2 linked regions of the Drosophila melanogaster genome follow. The protein of the gene in region 1 purifies or fractionates together with the protein of each later gene. This does not show direct contact. Each region holds a gene or a part of one and is shown in the gene's direction. Other genes may lie near its edges. The genes, in order: SC35 and qkr58E-2.

Evidence for each region.
Region 2: the proteins of SC35 (region 1) and qkr58E-2 purify together in Drosophila melanogaster (affinity purification with western blotting, with the first as the bait; one study listed by BioGRID). This does not show direct contact.

What each region holds. Positions count from the first base shown.
Region 1 is NT_033779.5:12,430,448-12,435,949, reverse strand, and holds SC35 (SR family splicing factor SC35), read left to right. Parts: upstream 1-1,911; 5' UTR 1,912-2,037; coding exon 2,038-2,115; intron 2,116-2,240; coding exon 2,241-2,371; intron 2,372-2,769; exon of another isoform or gene 2,770-2,925; intron 2,926-2,999; exon of another isoform or gene 3,000-3,152; intron 3,153-3,226; coding exon 3,227-3,605; 3' UTR 3,606-3,641; intron 3,642-3,745; 3' UTR 3,746-4,875; downstream 4,876-5,502. Other genes in the region: eRF3 (eukaryotic translation release factor 3), read right to left, coding at 527-953; CG5435 (uncharacterized protein), read left to right, coding at 5,163-5,203, 5,257-5,502.
Region 2 is NT_033778.4:22,413,811-22,419,605, forward strand, and holds qkr58E-2 (quaking related 58E-2), read left to right. Parts: upstream 1-1,998; 5' UTR 1,999-2,255; coding exon 2,256-2,556; exon of another isoform or gene 2,557-2,617; coding exon 2,618-3,221; intron 3,222-3,285; coding exon 3,286-3,386; intron 3,387-3,441; coding exon 3,442-3,686; 3' UTR 3,687-3,826; intron 3,827-3,882; exon of another isoform or gene 3,883-3,892; 3' UTR 3,893-5,191; downstream 5,192-5,795. Other genes in the region: qkr58E-1 (quaking related 58E-1), read right to left, coding at 291-472, 598-699, 760-1,264, 1,330-1,585; mRpS29 (mitochondrial ribosomal protein S29), read right to left, coding at 5,311-5,795.

The sequences.
Region 1 (5,502 bases):
ATTAGCTGGTTTCTAGAAAACAACTAGACCTGATTTGCGGTTATTTCACCATTTGGTGACACCTCTGTAGTGATTCTGGTCGTGATTCCTGGGCATCTCTGCGCTGAGCCACTGCTGGCGACACGACGACGAGAAAAGCGGCCAAAGAAAGGGCCCTGGCCGGACGAACTGTTTTTGCGCGCAGGCCGAAAGCGATTAGCCATTTGTTTAGCGGCACAATAATGCCCGCAATTCGAATAGAAGTCAAGCAACACATGCGACGCCGACGTCGGCAGTGCTGACGCAGATTGAGGTTATGTACTAGGGCCAGCGATAATAACCTAAACGGAACCTGGTGAATGCAACCTATCTTTGGGGTTTTCCCTATCCCATTCCCCATTGTTGTGTCTCTGCCAACGGTCTTGCGACCAGCAGGTAGCAACAATAACACGCTTCTTTGTTGACGTCACAGAAGAAGCGAGTTCAATGGACGTGGGGCATGTGTATTTGGCAGGGGGTATTTAGGTAGCTAGCAAGCTCTATTTACCATTGTTTGCGATTTTGTCCGAGGGGTTGAGACCATCGATGGGCGTTGGATCCGCCGCCGCTGCTCCTGCTGAAGGCGTGGTGGCTGGCGAACCCGGCGCTGGCGATGCGGAATTGGAGGATGATGTGGGCGGCTGTGCTGAGGGTGCTGCTGCCCCCGCCCCCTGTGCAGTTGGAGGCGGTGGAGCTGCTCCCGCTGTGGATCCCCCGCTGCCGACGGAATCGGGTGTGGTGGCTGGCGTGGCTGAACCGGAGGCGGGACCCGGATCCGCCGTCTCCTCGGCCGCAGCCGCTGCAACCACTACTGCCGCCGCCTCCTCAGCTACATTCACAACGCTGTTGTAACTGAAACTGGGCACAAATTCTACCGCGTTCACGTTCAGCGTTGAGAACTTTGTGCTGATCTCCGTGTTTTCCTGGGCGGCCATCGTTGCAGTGCGTCCGTAATCCTCCGCAGTGGTTTCCTCCGATGAAAATCTCTCTCTCGCTTTTTTCACGCGACGACACACTTTCGCCCTCCTTCTACAAACTGCTTCAGCTGCTTCTTCTTGCTGCTCCCGCACTCACACAGAACACACGCGGTCGTTCGGAATTCTTGGGATTGCCTATGGTAATGGAAATTGGGAATGGCAAAAGCAATGCCACCAACACACGCACGCCTTGATGGTTGTTGGCCGGGGGGGTGGCTTGTGGGGGGTTTAGGCCAGACTTTCGGCTCAATGTGGTCTACACTTTTGTTGTGACTCGGTGTTGTGTTTGTTGTTTGTGCTTTGCTAGCCTGGCCAACTCGGGTTGAACTCGAATTCCCTTTAATTTGATCGACTATCGCCTGTTTGGGGCAGTGGTGACCACCTGGTGATCTGCAGGTATGATTCGACTACCTGAACACTAAATGCAGTGCTCGGAACTAGCAATCTTCTATTATTTTACACGTTTTAAGCCACGCATCAAGTCAGGGTTGCCACTTGTATGCGGTGTTATCGGTGCATCGATATGTGCTGGCTGTCACAGTGGCCTATAATTGATTTGGGGCAAAGTATTAAGATATTTTTAAATTTTTTTAGTAAGATTTTTAATACTTTTAAAATTATTCAACATAAATAATTATATTGCTTTTGTACTTTGTTCTGATTAATATAATTTTTTAAGGCTAAATATAACGTAGTCCACATGTACATATATAAATACAAACTGTATTTGTTTTATGTGTGACTAGACATTAATAATTTTTTATTCACTTTCAGTGAGTTTTTATAATTATTAATTTAGTTATTTTGTATAATAGAAGTGTAATGCGAGTTTTGTAAATATTGATAAGTGTGTAGTGAGCCTTGGGGTTTCAATACATTTCTAAGCTCATCATCAATGGTATCGAATTACAATCGATGTTGTTCCAGCTCTAACGTCGTGCCAGACGCCATTTTAACAGTAGTGAAAAAATCGTCTGGAGTTTGGCTCGTTTTCAGCATTCGCATTAGCATTTTAGCGGTAAAACAAATATCCAAATAGACAATGAGCAACGGTGGTGGTGCCGGGGGATTGGGCGCAGCGCGTCCACCTCCACGGATCGATGGAATGGTCTCGCTTAAGGCAAGTATCTGCTAAGTAAAATGCGACTAAATCGCCCACAAAATGGCGGCCGGCTGGCAACGTTGTGTGGTTAGGTAACCTCTCCAAAAGCATGTAAATTAATCCGCGTGTAATTATGCCTACAGGTCGACAATCTCACATATCGCACCACGCCGGAGGATCTGCGTCGGGTCTTCGAGCGGTGCGGCGAGGTGGGGGACATCTACATACCCAGGGATCGCTACACACGTGAGAGCCGCGGATTCGCATTTGTTCGGTAAGCATTCACTTCTCTTCCGGGAAAATTGTGAAAGTCTTAGGTCTTTTTTGTTTTGTTACTTTCACTTGCCGGCGGTGGATTTTAATTATCATGGGACCTAAAATGTATCCATACATACTAGGAGTAAAATATATGTATTTCCCGAAAGTATACTGCGAAAATCATGCTATACAATCACTCGTCATATCCGCTTTCACTATCTACTTTATAATGTTTCATTGAAAACTAGCACATTGAGGAAAAATGTTATGTATTCCCTGAATTAATCAGGGTATGCAAGCAAATTACAAAAGTCTCAGAGTAATCATTTAAATATCATTTGAATATAGCTGCTATAATAAGTACGCCCCTTGTCTAAACTCAAATATTCCTCTCATTTCATTAGAACTATTTGCATTATTTGCTATCATCGATTGTGTATCAGTTGCTAATCTGTACACTTTCAGTAGCAAAATGGTGCCAGAACAAATGTGTTCACTTGCAACCGTTGCCTACTCAACATTTACTAGCCAACGTACAGAGAATACTACATCTAAATAATAAGTTCTAAAGTTATAGTTTCATAACATATGGCTTCAATGATACATTAAGTTGATACAAGGTCACTTATTCTATTTATTTGTTGTATCTACCTGCATTATTTGCCCCTTTTGAATGTGTAACAGCTTTCAGTCTGTACATCTTCTTTAGCAAAAGGATGCTAGATTGAATGTGTACACTTGCAACAGTTGCCTACCAAACCCCTGCTAGCCAACTTACCGTAAGCCCTACAATTAAATATAGACTTAAATATAAATAAACGTATGTGCAAAGTACACACGAATCTAGTTGATCATGTCCTTAATTTTTTAGCTTCTATGACAAACGTGATGCCGAGGACGCACTGGAGGCCATGGATGGTCGCATGCTAGACGGCAGGGAGCTCCGCGTACAGATGGCCCGCTACGGACGCCCCTCTTCGCCCACTCGCAGCTCCAGTGGTCGTCGTGGCGGAGGAGGAGGCGGTGGTTCCGGCGGGCGTCGTCGGTCACGTTCTCGCTCCCCAATGCGCCGTCGTTCGCGCAGTCCGCGTCGCCGATCATACTCCCGTTCCCGCTCGCCTGGTAGCCACTCGCCGGAACGCCGATCCAAATTTTCACGCAGTCCAGTACGCGGCGACAGCCGCAATGGAATCGGAAGCGGATCTGGAGGACTGGCCCCAGCCGCGTCTCGTAGTCGCAGTCGCTCCTAGATATCGACGTCACGTTCCATTTAGTGGGAGTGCGAGGTGAGTTCATATCGTGTAACGCTTCAGAAAAAGCTTTATATAAGGTTAAACATACCTTACGTTAAATAGGGATTATTTTAAAACTAGTTGTTCTTTGCTTTCAGATATGACTCGCTGACTAGGGCCAATGCTGTATCCTGTTCCGGATCTATGGCTCCATCTGTGTCATGCTGTACCCGAACAGCAGGTATAGAAACCATTATACAATCTTACACTTAACACAACTATTTATAGCGAACTATTTTAAGTTTCGGCAGAGTAAATAAGTAGAGATCAGGCATGATTATGTTCCGAGTGAGATCCCCGCAACCTGGGCGATCCCTCGATGTCGGTTCTTGCACATAGGCTTTCATATACTAGAGCGTAGTAGAAATCCTTGAACGTAATCAGAAACAGAACAAAATAAACTCAAATTAACACGGCTTCAATTCAATACCTAAATATCAAATGACAGACAGGACAGGAGGAGAATGAGAGGTGGATGAGTGATAGGAATACTCTAGGATTCTGTTTGTTTCGTTGCGATTCGATTCGATTGCGTTTGTGTTGCTCGTTTCCGTTCTTTGTACCTTTTAACGACAAACTTATTAACAAGCTTCTCCCACACGTTTATTATATATATGCAGGCGAATGGTGTGTGGCAGTTGTTGCGGTTCAGATAAGATTGTGGTTAAATCGCTCGCGATTAAGGATCAGCAGCAGCGCATCATCTAAGCTACAACTCCTTCCTCACGTAGGCGGACACCGCGTGGCTCCTGATTGTTGCTACTGCTGCTGCTGCTGCAGATGCTGATGCTGATGCTGCTGCTGTCGCATGATGCTGTTGCTGGTGCCGCTGATGCTGCAGTTGCAGTTGCCGTAGCCGTAGCAGCTTCCTGTTTCCTGTTAGACGCTGGCGCTGCCAAAGCTGCTCCAGATTCACTCATAGTTTCCCGTTTCCCGTCACTTCTTCTCTCGCCTCGTCTCGTCTCGTCTCAACTCGCGATTTGTTGCTGGTTGGCGTTGTTGGTGTTTTCCTGTATCTTGGTGGGCGTCCCTTTTGAGTTTAGGCGAAAAGTCATCATTTGCAGCAGAGGCCACATCGACGATGCGATGGATGCTAGAGTCTGGATTGCATACTGACTCGACCGAAATGTGGGATTCCCTAACGATCTGGTACATTCGGTAAGTGAGAGAGCTAACCCTTTGAATTTGCAGCCTAATTAAACGCTTCAATAAAGTTTTACTTGATTATAACTTAACCATCTACATATGTTATTAATTGGTTGAAATGGGGTTTTAAAACATATATGTATCTTGGAATATTGTAAAGAAAGATCTAGTATCTTCGGATGCCCAGAACATCCATCCATTATGTTTCGGTTTCTATTGACTCCCGAGAAACATGGTAGTCGGGGGGTATATTGACAAAGCAGTTGCCGGGAAACCGAAGGCAAAATCACATATACCCAAGTCCTTCTGAATACGATTCAGAAACCCTTTTACACTTTCATCTAAATTATATTGGTTTCTCCTGCAAAGATGATTCAGTACGATACTGTGCAGATCAAGAATGTATCATGGTAAGCTTTAGTTATGCCCGACTTGGCTCAAGATGACTATTGTGTGCTCTCAGGCAGCCGGAACTGCATACGGAGGGCACCTATGTGTGCTCTTTTCCAGAGCCCCCGCTGCCGGAGGCCCATCTGAAACCGGGCACCTGGCATGGCCATCTGGAGCCGTATCAGCGGCTCTTCTATCATCAAACGATGAACTCGGTGCGCTCGAGCAAGCGGTACCGTGCCAATCCGAACATCCCGAAGGATACGCTGGACTTTTCGCTGCAGTCGCGCTACGATCACACCCGCGAAGCATTTCCGGA
Region 2 (5,795 bases), on another chromosome or scaffold:
TTTAAAATCTTGTTAAAATGGGATGGGTTGCCGTTTTAATAATTTTGGTACGCGGCCTTGTTTCTTTTTCTTTTTTGGTTTCTGTTTTTTTCTGCGTTTTCAATTTATCGGCGCTTAGTTGGATAGATTTTGTTTTGTTTTCGAGTTTTTTTTTTGTTTTGATTTGCGCGAGTTAAGTTTAAACGTTTACATTGCTATTTGTCGTATTCTTTTTCTTTTCTTCATTTTGTTTATTTTTACATGCCTGCTGAGGGGAAGAGATTATTGGTCTAGAAATCTAGGTATCTTACCTGGATAGGCCGCCGCGTAGGAAGAGGAGGACGAGTGGGGGTGATACTCACGCCGATAGTCGCGCTCGTAGGAGCTACTGTCATACTGGGCGTGGTGGGTCGAGTGCTTTGATGTTTGGGGCGGCGGTGTGGCATAGCGATCATATTCTCCATGGTGGTCATATAGCTCGTGGTCCCGTGATCTGTTGAAAAAGTAAGGGATTAAAGGAGGGTTTTCTAACAATGGTTGATAACACAGATGCACGCTATTGAAAGCATAAGAATTTAACTTCTAAAGGCATCATTAACGCGATTGAACTTAGCTAACCTGTGCGTCTTTACGATCCCATAGTTGGGATCGTCCATCACATATCGAGCCTTCTCCAGAATCGAATAGACTTTGGGCTTTGAAGAAGCAGGGGGCGGGGTGCTGTGACGAAAGGAATTCCTTAGTAACCAATTAAAATTCAACGAAAATTGACAAGCCTACCGGGAACTGTAGGCGCCATGATCGCCATAGGATTTGGAATAGTGGTGAGACTTCTTGTACATGCGCTCCTTGCCATCCATCTCGCGTAGTTGCTCCAACCGAATGTCGTCGTTGGCGTCGGGTATCATAAACTTGCGGATCTCGCCTAGCGCATAGCTGATCCTGTGATAGGCCTCCGCTGGAGGGGCCACCGTGGATATCTCCACGTGCAAATCGCGGCTGAGATGGGCGTACTTTGGATTTCCGGAGCTGCGAAGCTCCTCCTCCTTACCGTGGTCGCGCATCGAGTTGCGCCCCATAACCACCATTTTGCACATAGTCTCTTCCTGCAGCTGCCGCAGTGTGTTGCCCTTGGGCCCCAGGATCTTGCCAACGAAATTGAACTTGGGGTACTCCTTGATGGGGAACAAGACTTTCTGGGCCACGCGGATGGGCTTTTCGCTGTACACGTTGGCATATATCTCGGGCTTTGGTATGCGTCCGCTGACCAAGATCTTCTCCACCTCTGCGGGGCCATGAAAAATTGCAATTAGATCCACTATAGCTTACATGTCGCAGCGCCTAACTCACCGTCGTCAAGTAAGCGCTTGGTGATGATGTGCTTCTTCTCGAGCGTCTTCTTTTCCAGCAGGCACTCCTGCAGATACGCGTTGGTCTTCTCATTCAGCTGGGGCGTGTCCCGCAGGGCGGCGTGGCTGGTGGTGTGTCCGCCGCCATCCGCCTCAGGGGTCTCTGGAGCACCGGTAGCCGCTGGCTCCTCGTCGCGTCGCTTCCGCTTGTAGTCGGCGGCGTCCTCGTTGTAGTCTCTGTCGTAGTCGCGCGGCATTGCGTTTTGTAGGATTTCTGGCCTGGAGGATTCGTGAATTTTAAAACTCCTACTCTTGAATACAAAATTCTACTATTGCAGAATTAGTTGGCTGAAAAAATATGTATGTGGTAGGACATCGATAGGTAAATCGGCATCACCGATTCGATAGCGTATTATCGGTTACTGCCGATAACAACCCGCCATCATGTGCATTAGTAGTTTATGACTTATCAATTTTATTAAAAACTTTCCCATAACAAAGAGAGCATTTAAATTATATTTGTAATTTAAAAATCACTAAGTGCATATTATAAATTATTGCCATGCACCTGACGACGCATCTATGTTAATATATAGCGTTAGATAGTGTCTGCAAGCCGATAACAACTATGCGCCCTTAACAGCACCGTCGATTGGCAGCGAACAGCACGCTGCAGAAGCACGAGAGACAGCCCGAGAGACCGGAGTTGCCGGACCGAGCCGCTGACATAGTAAATGTCCGAATAAAATACACACTTGGAAAAAGAGAGAAAAATTAGGGCCATTGGGAAGGCTGAAGTGTGCTAAGTTAGCAATCATACCGAATCGACAGCAAAAGCGATCGCCCGCAATCTGCGCACGGAAAATCCGAGACTCGGCGACTTAGCAGGACGATAGAGCGACAGCGATCCCGAAGGCAGGACGACAAATGGCGGAGAACGGACTGCGCGTGCCAGGGTCATCCGCGGTGGCCTCTGCGGTGGCTTCCACTGCGACGGGAGTCGGCGGTGGATCAGCAGCGGGAACTGCGGGGGCCGGGACAGGAGTGGTGCCCACCGGCGTCAGCGGCGGGACGAGCAACGGGGAGCATGAGAACGAACACAACGCCAACGCAGACGGCGAGAAGGCCCAGCCGGCGCCGGCGGTCCAGAAGTACATGCAGGAGCTCATGACGGAGCGATCGCGCATGGAAAACCACTTCCCCCTGGCGGTGAAGCTAATTGACGAAGGTAAATTGATTTGTCAGGGGCACTTCATGGTAATTACTTTGATTTCCCTCTGTTTTTGCAGCTCTGGAGCGTGTGCAGCTAAACGGACGCATTCCCACGAGAGACCAGTACGCCGATGTCTACCAGCAGCGCACCATCAAGCTGTCCCAAAAAGTGCACGTGCCCATCAAGGACAAGAAGTTCAACTATGTGGGCAAGCTACTGGGGCCCAAGGGCAACTCACTGCGTCGCCTGCAGGAGGAGACGCAGTGCAAGATCGTCATACTTGGTCGCTTCTCAATGAAGGATCGCGCACGTGAGGAGGAGCTGCGCAACTCCGCGGACGCGAAGTACGCCCACCTGAATCTTCCTCTGCACGTCGAGGTGTCCACCATTGCTCCGCCCGCCGAGGCGTACGCTCGGGTGGCGTATGCCCTGGCCGAGATTCGGCGGTACCTCACGCCGGACAAGCACGATGACATCCGCCAAGAGCAGTACCGCGAACTCATGGAGGATCCGGAGGCGGCCAAGAAGCTGACGCTTCGCCAGCTGCAACAGCAGTCGAATGCGGCAGCTAGTGGTGCAGGAGGAGGAGGCGGTGGTGGAGGCGGAAACGGAAATGGCGGCGCAGCTGGATCCGGCAGCAATAATGGCAATGGGAACCAGCGCTCCGGCGGCAACTACAGGTGGGTTGCAGTTCAATGTCCTCTACGAGCCTCGAGTCTAGCTAAACTCCCATGTTTCTTACAGACAAAAGTTTCAGCAACAATCACACTATCGCCACAACGAGGAGACTGTCTATTTTCGCTCACACAACAATGCGTACCACCAGCCAAAACCCTATGTGCCAGGTAAGTCTGGGCTCTCCTGGTCCATAGACCATAGATTCTATGTTCGCTTTTGCAGCCGCCCAACGGGGCAATGCCATGCACACCACCTTGCCACCGCAAGCAATTGTGCGAGCCTCACCGCCCGGAATGGTCGTCAGTGCGGCCAGCTTCAATGGCCGAAATGCCGGACTGGGTAATGCCGGCGGTGGCGGAATCATGGCCAATAGCATCGTGGCCACCACTGGCGGTGGCATCGGTGGCGCTGTGCCGCCTAACATGCGTTACCGTCCCGCTGCCCCCTACCAGTTTGTCAAGAAATAATACAGATGGGAGGATGCACCGCCCGCTGCCGTTCGCTGTTTGTTCAACTATTCCTCACCATCATTGATGCCTCATCCGGAAGTATTCACGCCCATCTGTCATACCCATCCAAACACCCACAACCACACACAGCTCCAAAGGTAGATGTAGTAACTATGAGAACATTGGAAACTTGTCATGCATTGATTTCATCAAGATTTCGGCAGGGTGGAAACCAAAACGAAACGAATGAGTAAATCTATGTTTAAGAAAACTAGCCTAAGTAGACAAATGCTCCGAGGAACAGACGAACACCTCAGCCACCCAACCAAAACCAAAACTAACCGACCAGACAAACACCCACCACCCCACACGCACGCAACCTCTTCTCGAGGATTGGGTTCGAAGGATCACGAGGGTCTGCGATCTAAGACTTTGGAATCCGTGTGTTGGGCCCTGCGAGCATTTGGAAGAGAAGAATTGAAGAAGAAGAACGAGGAGGAGGTGGAGAACGCCTCGATGTTGGATCGGGCCGAATCGAATGGACGCATTCAAGGTTGGTCCCAGTCGAGCCAAATGTCCTTGTTTTGTTTTGTCGCATATTATTAACATTTTAATTTTACCACTGACGCGTGCGAAGATTTCATCACTTTGTAATTTATATAAATGAATATATATATCTCCTTATGCTTACTATCATACGTATCCTTCTCGCAGTCGCTTTAACTCTATTGCTTTTCCAACTCTGCGTTTAAGTTTATCCCATTTTTTGTTGTAATGCGTTTTGTATTATGTTTACGTTTAGAAGAGGAGGCTTCTTATTTTTATTTGTTACGTCGCCAGGACAGAAAAAGCAACTGCAAACGATCATGAATAATATATATAACAAGTATATACAAGCGGTATGATTTATAACACATAGTGCATATGCAACACCACACGATCATACGCGCGTACGCATATTCAAAACATCAGCATATTCACCTAAAGCCGTAAAGTTTAAACCAAATGAACATTAGAAACGCAAACGAGAATCTAAAACACAGATCGGAGCAGGAGACCGATTTCGCCTACGATAATGCAAATGCAACGGACATAGCAAACCACATACGATCAGAGAAAATATGCAAACACATACATACATACATAATTGTTATTGTTGTTAAAAGCAACTAAAATTGTAATAGAAATTATGCAAATATACATACGAATATGACGACAAATGTTAATTGCAGCCTAGTTATTATTTTGTTCATTCACACCCACATCGGAACGGAACCTAAGATATAGTCTTAAATAAAGAGAGAGTGCAGCCAGCAGATCCGCACGGACTAGGCCTAGATCTAGACCTTGTTGACGATGCTTCTACAGCCACAAGACACACGAAACTTGAACACAGCCCTATTTGTATTGATTTTGAACATTGAACACACTGCATGTAAACCCCATACACATATATGTAAACGTACGAAAGTACTGTGCATCATTATGTATTGCTGATTATCGTTAAATAAATTTCCAATTTGAATTTCCCAGACTCATTATTACAAATTGAGTCGTGAGCGTACAGCAAGCAAACCGCATCGTTGTGGTAAATAACAAATCATTTAACTTTATTGGCTAACAAATACAGGACACTCGCTCTCTACAAGGCCTTCACGAGCTGCATCAGCGAGTAGGGGTTCTTGTTGCTCATGAACTTGAGCTGCTCCTCGAATCCCTGCGGCGTCTTGTTGATCCAGTGTCGGTCGAGATAGTAGCTGATGTAGCTGTGGAATTCCTTGTCCGTGTAGTTTTCCACATGGATGGGCACAAACGGATCTAGATGCTCGAAGCCCTCCTTGCCGAGCAGATAGCGCGGCATATAGGAGTCCATGTGGCCCTCAGTCATTGCGATCTTGTCCACGGACAGGATGCATACTCCGTTTGTCCAGTCGTAGTTGGTGATGTCGAGGAAGGGCTGTGTGAGCGTGACCCGATCCGGAGTCACGAGCTGCTTGTTGTCGGAGAAAATGCGAGTAACCGGATGGAAGAAGGCATTGAAGCCATCAATGGCCACCATTACTTTGCACTGTCCAGCGGTGGAGAGTTGTTTCAGTTCCGCAATTAGCGCCGCCGTGGTCTCCGAGG